3 linked regions of the Canis lupus familiaris genome follow. The protein of the gene in region 1 purifies or fractionates together with the protein of each later gene. This does not show direct contact. Links are inferred from orthologs where the notes say so. Each region holds a gene or a part of one and is shown in the gene's direction. Other genes may lie near its edges.

Region 1 (3,747 bases):
CACAGGCAGAGGGAGAAGCAGGCTCCATGCAGGGAGCCTGATGCAGGGCTTGATCCTGGGTCTCCAGGGTCAGGCCCTGGGCTGAAGGCGGCGCTAAACCGCTGAGCCACCCGGGCCGCCCCTCTAGTTCTCCTTCTGATTGCATATGGAGCCACAGGCCAAAAGACAGTGAACTTCTTGACTTCTCCATAGCCCAGATGTAAAACTACTGCTTATTGTTCCATTCACCTTAGGCGTACGCTTTATAAAAAGATAGCAGCCGCACATTCAGGAATAGAGAAAACATTTGCAAATAACTGCTAACGATTTGTTAAACTTCAGATCGGTTCCTAGAAGAACCGGGTCTCCTCTAACGCACGGGCAAGTGCATTAGAAAAAAAAAAAAAATAGAAAAAAAAATTAGAAAAAGTGCAAAGAAAAAGTCCTCTATGACAAACTTGAAGCTCCCACTAAATATTCCTACAACTGTAAATATTTTTACGTCTTTTGGAAATGTGGCACAACGTGTGGGCATAAGTTTCCAGAAAGTTCCAGAAAGATGGGCGAAGCCTGCCATTCTCGTTTGCTTCAGAGGGTTGGGGGGCAGGGCAGGGGGGGCTTTCAGAAGCGGCGGGGAAACTGGAGTTCCGCGTGTCTGTGTGTCCTGTCCGGGGCCGCCAGGTGTGAGCCGGCGCGTCGCCACCTGCACCGCGCGCGCACGTGTGCTTGCTCGCCGTCGGGGGCGCATCGTGCCCAAAAGTCCTGCGCCCTTTTTCGTCCCTTTCCTCCCGGTGACAGTGGGGGAGAGCTGGGCGGGCGGGGATGGGGGCGGGGAGGCGGCTTCTCCGCGGGCAGATGCGCGGGGAGGAGCGCGGGGAGGAGCGCGACGCCCCGCGCCAACCCCGCGCCCCCGCAGGACGCCGCCGCGAGCCCCCCGGGGACGTGCGCCCCAGGTCTAGGCCACCCCCGCGGGGCGCTCCCCGCGCGCTCCCCGCCCCGCGCCGCCGAACCCCGGGGATGTGCCCGGACCCGGCGCGCAGGTCCCGGCCGGGCGCTCGCGGCAAGCCCCGGGCCCGCGGCCAGCAGGCTCCCTCCCAGCCGCCGCCCCCCGCCTGCGCCTCCCCGCCCCCCCCCCCCCCCCCCCTGCACAATACAAGATCTTCCTTCCTCGGTTCCCTTGAATAACAGCCCAGGGAAACCTCGGAGCCTTCACCCAGCCACCGGCCAGCATGTCTGGGGGCAAATACGTAGACTCCGAGGTAGGCTCGCGGGGTGCGCGCGGGGAGCCCCCGGGGCGCCCCCACCCCCACCCCACCCCCACCCCACCCCCCGCGGTCGGCCGCCGGGCGCTCCCCCGGCGCGGGCACCTCCGAGGAATGGGCCTGGGCGGGGAGCTGAAGAGGGGGCAGGAATGTCGTCCAGGCTGCTCTTCGGAAAGGGGGGCCGGCGGGCCCTAAACCAGAGGGAGGCTGAAAGTGGGGGCGGGGGGCGCCCCGGGGTCCCGAGATGGGGACCAGAGCACGCTCCTGGGTCGTGGGCGGGCCCGGGGCGCTGCTTTAGGTCGGGACCCGCACGGCCCAGCCCCTGCGCGCTGGGGGGCTGCGATCGGGGACGCGGGGTGCGCCGCCATCCCCCCGCGATCCGGGGGACCGTCCCCGCCGCTCCGCCAGGCGCCTGGACCGGCTGGCACCGCCCGAAGCCCTCGGGCCGCCTCAAGAACCCTTCCAGCATCGCGGCGCCCGGCGGGGTGTTTGCAGAGGGGGGACCTGCCCTCCCCTCCCCTCCCCTCCTGTCCCTGCCCGCCCTCCCCTCCCAGTGCCACCCCTCGTCCGCGCGGGGATCTCGCTCCCCAAACTCGCCCTCCGCCCCGCGCCCCGCCGGCGGCCTAGGAGGGACCTGCGGGAGGTCGGGGAGGTCGGGGGCGCCGGGCAGGTGCGAGGTCGCGGTTCGGGGCGGTCTGCAGGGGGGCGGGGGGCGCTGCTCCCGACACGGGCGCTTTCGGGACGCTGAGCCCCGCGGGGGCGGGGGGCGCGGAGAGTGCGGCGAGCCAGCAGGTGTCGGGGAGGTGCGGCAGAAAGGGGCAGAAAGGGGGCCCCTCCGGGGGGTCCCGGGGGCTCCAGCGGGCCCGAGGGAGACGCCGGAGAGCTTCTGGAGAGCAGGGTGGGGGAGGGGCGCCCCGCAGCCGGGGACGGGTCCCCGCGGTCGCTGGGGGGCGCGCGGGGCGGGCGCGGGCGGGGGCGGCGCGGGTGCGCGCTGACCCCTGGCGGCGGGCGGCGGAGGCCGGGGCTCCCCGCGGGCACCGAGGGGTGTGGTGTCCTCGCCTCCATCCTCTTAAGCGCCGGCGGCGCCCGAGCGGCCAGTTGGCGGGCGACCTCCAGGGCCGCCGCACCGCTCGTTTTCCTTTTTGACATTTCCTTTTTGACATTTCCTTTTTCTGGCATTGCCTTTTTTGACATTTTCTTCCCATCTCCGCCCCCCCCTCCCGCACCCCGCCGTCCCCCCCCCACCCCGCGCAGGGGCACCTCTACACCGTTCCCATCCGGGAGCAGGGCAACATCTACAAGCCCAACAACAAGGCCATGGCGGAGGAGATGAGCGAGAAGCAGGTGTACGACGCGCACACCAAGGAAATCGACCTGGTCAACCGCGACCCCAAGCATCTCAACGACGACGTGGTCAAGGTAGGGGAGGCGGCCCCGCCCGCCCCGGGGCGCTCCGAGCATCCTCCGCTACCTGGGCCCGCGCGCGCTGCCTCCTGCGCTTGAGGACGCGGGGCCCCGCAGTCCCCCCACCTTGCCCTCCCCCATCACCCCGCCGGCTAGTTCGGCTGGAATCTCGCTGACTGCCCTCCTCCTAGAACCCCACTTCTCCCCGGCCAACACACCTCCAGATCTCCGCGACAGGTTGGCCCGCGCTCCTTGGGCGAGTGAGGCGCTTGGCCCTGCGGGGCACCCTCTTGCCTGTTCCCAGGCTTAAACTCTAGCGAAGGGGGGCGCCCTATTGCACCTAGAATTAAAGCAAGTAAGGTCACTGTGTAAGTTCTTTGTGGCTCGATGATCTATGGGATACCGAGTGGGCAGGTTGTCCCAGCTCAAATCAGGGTAACCTCAAGTTATTTTCTTAACTATAATAAGGTGGGTAAAAATGCTTCAGATTGATATATTATATATCACATATATGGAGAGAGAGCATCTTAACTGGAGGGGGAAAAAGTGGTACTCGTGCACGACCAAGCTAATTTCCACAACCAAAAATAATGAGCGCCTCTGGATTTCTCCCATAGACACCCCTAGCTAGGTATATAAAGTCACTTCTTTAGTGACTGCCTGGGTCAGGCTTCCCCGAGTTAATGAGACACTCAGGCTGGAGTTCCTTTTTATATTTTCAGAATGTGTTTGGTGATTTTTTTAAAAAAAAATAATAAGGCATCTGAATGAGCTATTGGCCAAACTTAGATTTGAGTCAGTGATCAATTTTTGATTATCATTATATTATTCAACTTTGACCCTCTTAGCAAATTAAGTCAGGGAAATTTATTGTCCGAATCCATCTGGATTGGGAAATCATGGGCTTGAGCCATTCTTGGCAGAGGGTTTTCTTTGAGGAGTGGGGAGGGCCAAGGAAAATCCTGGCCTGGAAGATTATAGCGTGAAGACCCAGTTCTGCACAACTCCAGAACAGCCAATGGGGCAGATGAGCAATTTCCACCTACCCAGTCTCCTATCTGGGGCTGGGAAGAGCCATAGTTCAGAGACTATGCACATTTAT
Region 2 (3,647 bases), on another chromosome or scaffold:
CCAAGACTAACAATATTATATACACATCTTTTTAGCTGATCATTCTGGCTAGTGGTGGACCTCAAGCTTTAGTAAATATAATGAGGACCTACACTTACGAGAAACTCCTGTGGACCACAAGCAGAGTATTGAAGGTGCTGTCTGTCTGCTCTAGTAATAAACCAGCTATTGTAGAAGCAGGTAAGTATTCTGAGTGTCATGTGTATAGCATATTATAGTTCTAATTAGATTACTTGTCTTAGGAAAAGGGTAATACAACTTGACCTTAATGGGCTGAAACTGAATAGAACCAGTTTGCAGCCAAGATCACATTCAAAATATATGTGCTACTTGACACCTTGCATTGGTGCTGTTTAAGCCTCATTTAGATAGAGTTCTTGTTAGCCATCAAAAATGATGGCTGATTACTTGGCACTCTATGTTATGTGCGTGTTAGTAGCAGAGGAAAGGAATAGGTGGACCAACCAGGGCCTTTTGTTTTTTTATCATAAAGATAGTTACTCTTTAGCTACCTAGCATCAGTTCTTTCTTAACCCACTTAATAGTATTTACCTGGACTCTGAAACCAAGTTTCATATCAAAATTGGAAGAGGAGAAATATGAAAGCATTTATTAGAAGAAAATACTGGGAATAAAGTGTAGGGTTGGTAACACCTATTTTTCTCACTTGTCTAGAGTAATTTGAGAATTTGTGGGAGAGAGGGGCATTATGATTACCCAGGATAGCAGCTGGCACTGAGACAGACAGGTGTGGCTGCATTCATATTCAATAAGGGGATGAAATTCTGCCAGCTATTCCAGAAATACGAGGAGTGCTTGCAGAAAAATGCAGAGTTTTGGATTTAATTGGAATCCTTGGAGTGAAGTGATAACGTCAGTAGATAGCTGGAAATGTGTATGGGACTGGGGACCTAGGTGTCTCCATTTTAAGAAGTTAGCTAGGTTATTCTGCTGTTCATTTGTGTGTTCTGAAGATATTCAGCACCTGTGTTTCAAGCACTGGAATAAGCACGTGGTCTGCATTGGCTAACCAAGCAGATAGGGCCCCTGCATTTATTCTTCCATTCTGTGAGAGTGACAAAAATATGTAAAAGATGGGGGCATTACAACCAAGAATGAATTCTGTAGGGGAGAAAGGAACAGCAAATATGGATACAGAATTAACAGGGAGGGAGGAAGGAGGGAGCTTCCCTGAGAAAGGGATGTACAGTGGGATTGCTGGATGAGAAAACACTTGTTAGTTATATGAGAAGTGGGGATTAGATGCCTTCCAGGCAGAGAAAAACATGTGCTGTGTCCTAAAGGTAAGAAAGAGCCTGTTGATCTCTAAGTGCTAAAGAGGAAGAGTGTGTAACTAGAATTTAATGAGTAATGAGTGAGTAGCCCAGAATGAGGTTGATGGGCTAGGCAAGGACCATATTTGCAGGACTTTCTAGGCCTGTAAGATGTTCATTCCTGCCGTATTTCAGCTTTAGAACCACAGATGTAGAATATTTAGTTCAGTTTGTAGTGTCAGGTGGGATCCAAATTCTAAAGGGTTCCTTAATGTTACGCTAAAGAATGTGGCCTTTGTTTTATAGAAGATGAGAAGTTACTAAATGGAACTACCAGGATAGGTTGGTTAATATTTGGAACAAGGTAATTTAAGATGTGAAAATATTCAGAGTGACTATAAAATGCAGGGGAAGACTAGGCTAGAAATTTGGGAGTTGACCTGTCAGTGTAGGTGGAAAGGGGGTGTGTGCCCCAGAGGCATCTGCACAGGACTCTTATCTTAACCTTAGGCCTGCTGAATCACTGTGTGTTTTCAAAGTCTATGGGCTATTCTGATAAGCAGTTTGGGGTTGAGATCATCCACCCTGTTAGAGTGAATAGTAAAGGGAGGGAATGAAATCTGTGAGGGGAAAGAAGGTTGAGGGGAATCTAGTCATTTAACGAATGTTGAGCATTAGCCTTATGCAGGTCCCTGTGTTAGTAGCTGGAGGTGCTATGAGGAAGGAACCAGATAGGGATGATCCTTGTCTTGTAGAAGAGGTGACTTAATTTTAAAACAGACTGAAAAGGGGTACTTGACTGGCTCAGTTGGTAGAGCATGTGACTCTTCATCTCCAGGTTCATGAGTTCAAGCCCCACGTTGTCTGTGGAGCCTACTTAAGATTAAAATAATAATAAGATAAAAAATAAAACAGACCTGAAAAGATGAACAGGGAGACAAGGAAAGTATCTCACTACATTCAGAAGTGATTTCGTAGGAGAGAGATGGGTGAAGTTAACCCATTATGTGGGGAATTAAGCTTCCATTTAGACTTCTCAATCAATATAAAGGTCTTTTCTTAGGGTCCTAAACCTTCCTGACATGTGTTTTAGAGTCAGCATCTTTCATGTAATCCTTGGTAATAAGTGTTCCCATGCCTTGTTGAGTTGGTCTTACATAGTTTCCTCAGGTCTTTGCTGCTTTGCTCAGATGTCACTGAGGTGCCCTCATTACACTACTTGAAATTGTAGCCCCCACCCTCTTGTGTTGTTTTTTTTTCCATAGCACTTAACATCATCTGGCATACTATGGAGTTTCAGTTTATTAACTGTATTTGTTTATTGTCTGCCTCCAGCTAGACTGTGAGCTCCACGAGAGTAGGGACCTTAGAATATTTTGCCCATTGGTACAGCTCCAACTCAAAACAGGGCCTGGTATTGGTCAGTATTTTTGGGATGATTGAATGGATGAAAGGAAATAATACGAATATTACCTAAGGAGGACAGTGGAGATAACAGAGGCTTTTTCCACATAGGGAGGAACAGTACTCGATAAGTTGTCACTAGTTGAGGTGAATTAGAAAAGAAAGGGAAACTGAGCAACAGCCTAACAAATGAAATAAAGGACTTAGATGGAGGGGGTAAACTTTGGCAGTAACAAGGGACATTCTCTAAGACTAGAGAAGACAGTGCTGATAGGACTTGCCAGCTAACGGCCATCACCTTAGATCTTTTTTCATATCTTAGGTGGAATGCAGGCTTTAGGGCTTCACCTGACAGATCCAAGTCAACGTCTTGTTCAGAATTGTCTTTGGACTCTAAGGAATCTATCAGATGCTGCAACTAAACAGGTAAATTTTGAGTATGCCAGTGCCTTGGTGATAGAATTAAGATGAATATGTACTGAGCATTTGTTTTTATGTCCATAGGAAGGGATGGAAGGTCTTCTTGGGACTCTTGTTCAGCTTCTGGGCTCAGATGATATAAATGTGGTCACGTGTGCAGCTGGAATTCTTTCTAATCTCACTTGCAATAATTATAAGAACAAGATGATGGTCTGCCAAGTGGGTGGTATAGAGGCTCTTGTGCGTACTGTCCTTCGTGCTGGTGACAGGGAGGACATTACTGAGCCTGCCATCTGTGCTCTTCGTCATCTGACCAGCCGACACCAGGAAGCAGAGATGGCCCAGAATGCTGTTCGCCTTCACTATGGACTGCCAGTTGTGGTTAAACTCCTGCACCCACCATCCCATTGGCCTCTAATAAAGGTAAACTGTCAATCAAAAATAGGTTGCAGAATTGAAAATGATCCACCTCTAGCTATTGGATGGCTGTCTAGGCATAAGGGATTAGCAAGTACGAATCCTATTCCTTAGTAAATAGGAAGTATGGCT
Region 3 (3,482 bases), on another chromosome or scaffold:
TCTGCTCCGTGGAGGCCTCCAACCTTGGGATTCCACAGCCTCCAGGGCCCCACTCCTGCCCCCTACATACCCCCCCGCCCCCCCCCCCCCCCACACACACACAAAGCTGCAGTTGCCAGCTCCAAACTTCACCGGAGAACAGCTCTCTTCCTCTCTTTCTCTCTTACTGGATTTTGCAAACCGGATTTATGCAGAGTGAGGAGTTATATGTCCTCAGGAATAGGAGACCAGGCAGTGAATTTGTCCCACGGGCCATGACTCTCTGGACTGCGAATCAGGGCTGTCCCAGGGCTATGGCAGGGGGTCACTGCCAGCTGTCAGCCGGTTACCTTTGGGTGGGAAGAGAGAGGCTTCTACACCTTGGTCTGGAGGTATCTCCAGCCCTAGGTATCTCTAGATCTATAGATCCCCAGGGCCCATAGCTCTGCCCAGCCTCTTCTTGTCCATAATTCTTCCCCAAGAAGATGGAATGGTTAGTTACTCCTCCAAAGGAGGATTGTAAAAGGGCTGTTATTTCATGTCTCATCCGTCCAACCCAAGGCAGTTCATTTCCCCTGGAGTCCACTTGGCGTTCAGCGGGTTCCCAGGTGAACTGAAATCCACAGCTATTCTCATCTGGTTGCCCTGGGAGTTTTGGCGCTGTCGGTACAACCTGTTCCTTCAGCCTCTCATTCCCCCCCCTCCCTCCCCCCACCTCCAGGCTGCTCCCTTCTCCGCCACACCCCCCCCCCCCAGTCGCCCCAGGCCCCAGCCGTGCCCTCCCTCCGGGGAGACACCCGCTGCTGGAGACCCAGGAGGGGACGCGGGGGAAGGAGGAGGGGAGGGGACGGGGCGGGGTAGGGAAGAGGCGGGAGAGCCGCGCTGGGTGGAGGCCGAGGCCGAGCGCCGCCCCGCAGCCAGAGAGGGGCGGCTGAAGGTTGCATCTGCTGGAAGGAGGCTTTTGGCTGCCTGGTAACGGGCTGCCGGAACGGAGAGCGGAGAGCGAGGCAGCGAGCAGGGCAGCAGCTTCCTGACGTCAGGGCCGAGCCCGGGGATCGCGCCAGCAGCCCCAGCCCGCCCCGCAGGGAGGCCGGCCGACGGCTGGAGAAGAGCCTGAGCCACGCAAGGCGCCCAGCCGGGCGCGAGCGGGGGCTCGGACGCCGGTCAGTGGGGGCGCAGCATGCCCCCTGCCCCCCGGCCATGGAGCTCGCCCTGGTGCCCCTGGAGAACGGCGGGGCCATGACCGTCAGGGGAGGAGGTGAGGCCCGGGCAGGCTGTGGCCAGGCCGTAGGGGGGGAGCTCCAGTGCCCCCCGACGGCTGCGCGCGGCGCCGGCCCCAAGGAGCGGGAGCCCAGGGAGCGCGGCCCGCCGAGGGGAGCGGACCCCGGAGCGCGGCCTCTGCCAGCGCTGCCTCTGCCTCGACGGCTGCCCCCGGAGGACGAGGAGGGAGACGGCGACCCCGCCCTGGGCCTGGCGGAGGACCAGGTGCCGGGCCCGGGCTCGGGGTCCTTTCACCACCAGCGCGTCCTCATCAACATCTCCGGGCTGCGCTTCGAGACGCAGCTGGGCACCCTGGCGCAGTTCCCCGACACCCTCCTGGGGGACCCGGCCAAGCGCCTGCGCTACTTCGACCCCCTGCGGAACGAGTACTTCTTCGACCGCAACCGGCCCAGCTTCGACGGCATCCTCTACTACTACCAGTCCGGGGGCCGCCTGCGGAGGCCGGTCAACGTCTCGCTGGACGTGTTCGCCGATGAGATCCGCTTCTACCAGCTGGGGGACGAGGCCCTGGAGCGCTTCCGCGAGGACGAGGGCTTCATCAAGGAGGAGGAGAAGCCGCTGCCCCGCAACGAGTTCCAGCGACAGGTGTGGCTTATCTTCGAGTACCCGGAAAGCTCCGGGTCCGCCAGGGCCATCGCGATCGTCTCGGTCTTGGTCATTCTCATCTCCATCATCACCTTCTGCTTGGAGACCTTGCCCGAGTTCCGGGACGAGCGCGAGCTGCTGCGCCATCCCCCGGGGCCCCCCCACCCCCCTGGGCCCGCCCGGGGGACCAACGGCAGCGCGGCCCTGGCGCCCGCCTCGGGCCCCACGGTGGCGCCTCTCCTGCCGCGGACCCTGGCTGACCCCTTCTTCATCGTAGAGACCACGTGCGTCATCTGGTTCACCTTCGAGCTGCTCGTGCGCTTCTTCGCCTGCCCCAGCAAGGCGGAGTTCTCTCGGAACATCATGAACATCATTGACGTGGTGGCCATCTTCCCCTACTTCATCACCCTGGGCACCGAGCTGGCCGAGCAACAGCCAGGCGGGGGAGGGGGTGGCCAGAATGGGCAGCAGGCCATGTCCCTGGCCATCCTCAGAGTGATCCGCCTGGTCCGGGTGTTCCGCATCTTCAAGCTCTCCCGCCACTCCAAGGGGCTGCAGATCCTGGGCAAGACCTTGCAGGCCTCCATGAGGGAGCTGGGCCTGCTCATCTTCTTCCTCTTCATCGGGGTCATCCTCTTCTCCAGTGCCGTCTACTTCGCAGAGGCTGACAACCAGGAGACCCACTTTTCCAGCATCCCGGACGCCTTCTGGTGGGCAGTCGTCACAATGACCACGGTAGGCTATGGGGACATGAGGCCTGTCACTGTGGGGGGCAAGATCGTGGGCTCGCTGTGTGCCATCGCCGGGGTCCTCACCATCGCCCTGCCTGTGCCCGTCATTGTCTCCAACTTCAACTACTTCTACCACCGGGAGACGGACCACGAGGAGCAGGCCGCTCTGAAGGAAGAGCAGGGCAGCCAGAGCCAGGGGACAGGGCTGGACAGCGGAGGCCCTCGGAAGACCAGCTGGAGCAAGGGGTCCCTGTGCAAGGCTGGAGTGTCCCTGGAGAATGCAGACGGAGCCCGAAGGGGCAGCTGCCCCCTGGAGAAGTGTAACCTCAAGGCCAAAAGCAATGTGGACTTGCGGCGATCCCTCTATGCCCTCTGCCTGGACACGAGTCGGGAAACGGATTTGTAAGGGGGAGCCCCGGCAGAGTGGTGGTAGTGGGGTGGGGATAGCAGAGACCTCCTGAGCCGGGGTACTGACTTTATACCACGGAGTATTTCAAGCCCACCTTGAAGTCTGTCCCTCTTTAGACTTCTCTCCTTCCCTCCCTCCCTTGATCCCCCATTTTTCCTCTTCTTTCCATGACACCAAGGGTCGCCTATTTTTAAAAAGTACCACATTCCATGACGCAGGAGCTGTTGAAATGGTGAGCACTACGAAATGGATGTATTTGTAGCCAGTTCCCTATACCCAGCAGAGGGATAACCCAAACAAAAAATGACTTTAAATAGCCAAGATCCCAAGGGATTTTGTAACCCCCTCCATGTGTTCCAAATTTGCTTTACATATGATTTTATTTGTGTATAGGGGAAAATATTATTTTTATGGCTGGTGAGTGGATTTTTGTACTGTAGTTCAGATGGAGATATTTTGGATACATTTTCCAGAAATGCTGTATTTATGGAAGAGGG

Evidence for each region.
Region 2: the proteins of CAV1 (region 1) and CTNNB1 purify together in Homo sapiens (affinity purification with western blotting; 3 studies listed by BioGRID and IntAct, with this or other methods). This does not show direct contact. The link is inferred for Canis lupus familiaris from reciprocal best matches to the Homo sapiens genes CAV1 and CTNNB1.
Region 3: the proteins of CAV1 (region 1) and KCNA5 purify together in Homo sapiens (affinity purification with western blotting, with the first as the bait; 3 studies listed by BioGRID). This does not show direct contact. The link is inferred for Canis lupus familiaris from reciprocal best matches to the Homo sapiens genes CAV1 and KCNA5.

Annotation. Positions count from the first base shown.
Region 1 is NC_049235.1:55,589,320-55,593,066, forward strand, and holds the start of CAV1 (caveolin-1), read left to right. Parts: upstream 1-1,208; coding exon 1,209-1,238; intron 1,239-2,495; coding exon 2,496-2,660; intron 2,661-3,747. UniProt on the Homo sapiens protein: May act as a scaffolding protein within caveolar membranes. Forms a stable heterooligomeric complex with CAV2 that targets to lipid rafts and drives caveolae formation. Mediates the recruitment of CAVIN proteins (CAVIN1/2/3/4) to the caveolae.
Region 2 is NC_049244.1:10,793,303-10,796,949, forward strand, and holds part of CTNNB1 (catenin beta-1), read left to right. Parts: intron 1-35; coding exon 36-180; intron 181-3,000; coding exon 3,001-3,104; intron 3,105-3,182; coding exon 3,183-3,521; intron 3,522-3,647. UniProt on the Homo sapiens protein: Key downstream component of the canonical Wnt signaling pathway.
Region 3 is NC_049248.1:6,280,282-6,283,763, forward strand, and holds KCNA5 (potassium voltage-gated channel subfamily A member 5), read left to right. Parts: upstream 1-1,179; coding exon 1,180-2,982; downstream 2,983-3,482. UniProt on the Homo sapiens protein: Voltage-gated potassium channel that mediates transmembrane potassium transport in excitable membranes. Forms tetrameric potassium-selective channels through which potassium ions pass in accordance with their electrochemical gradient.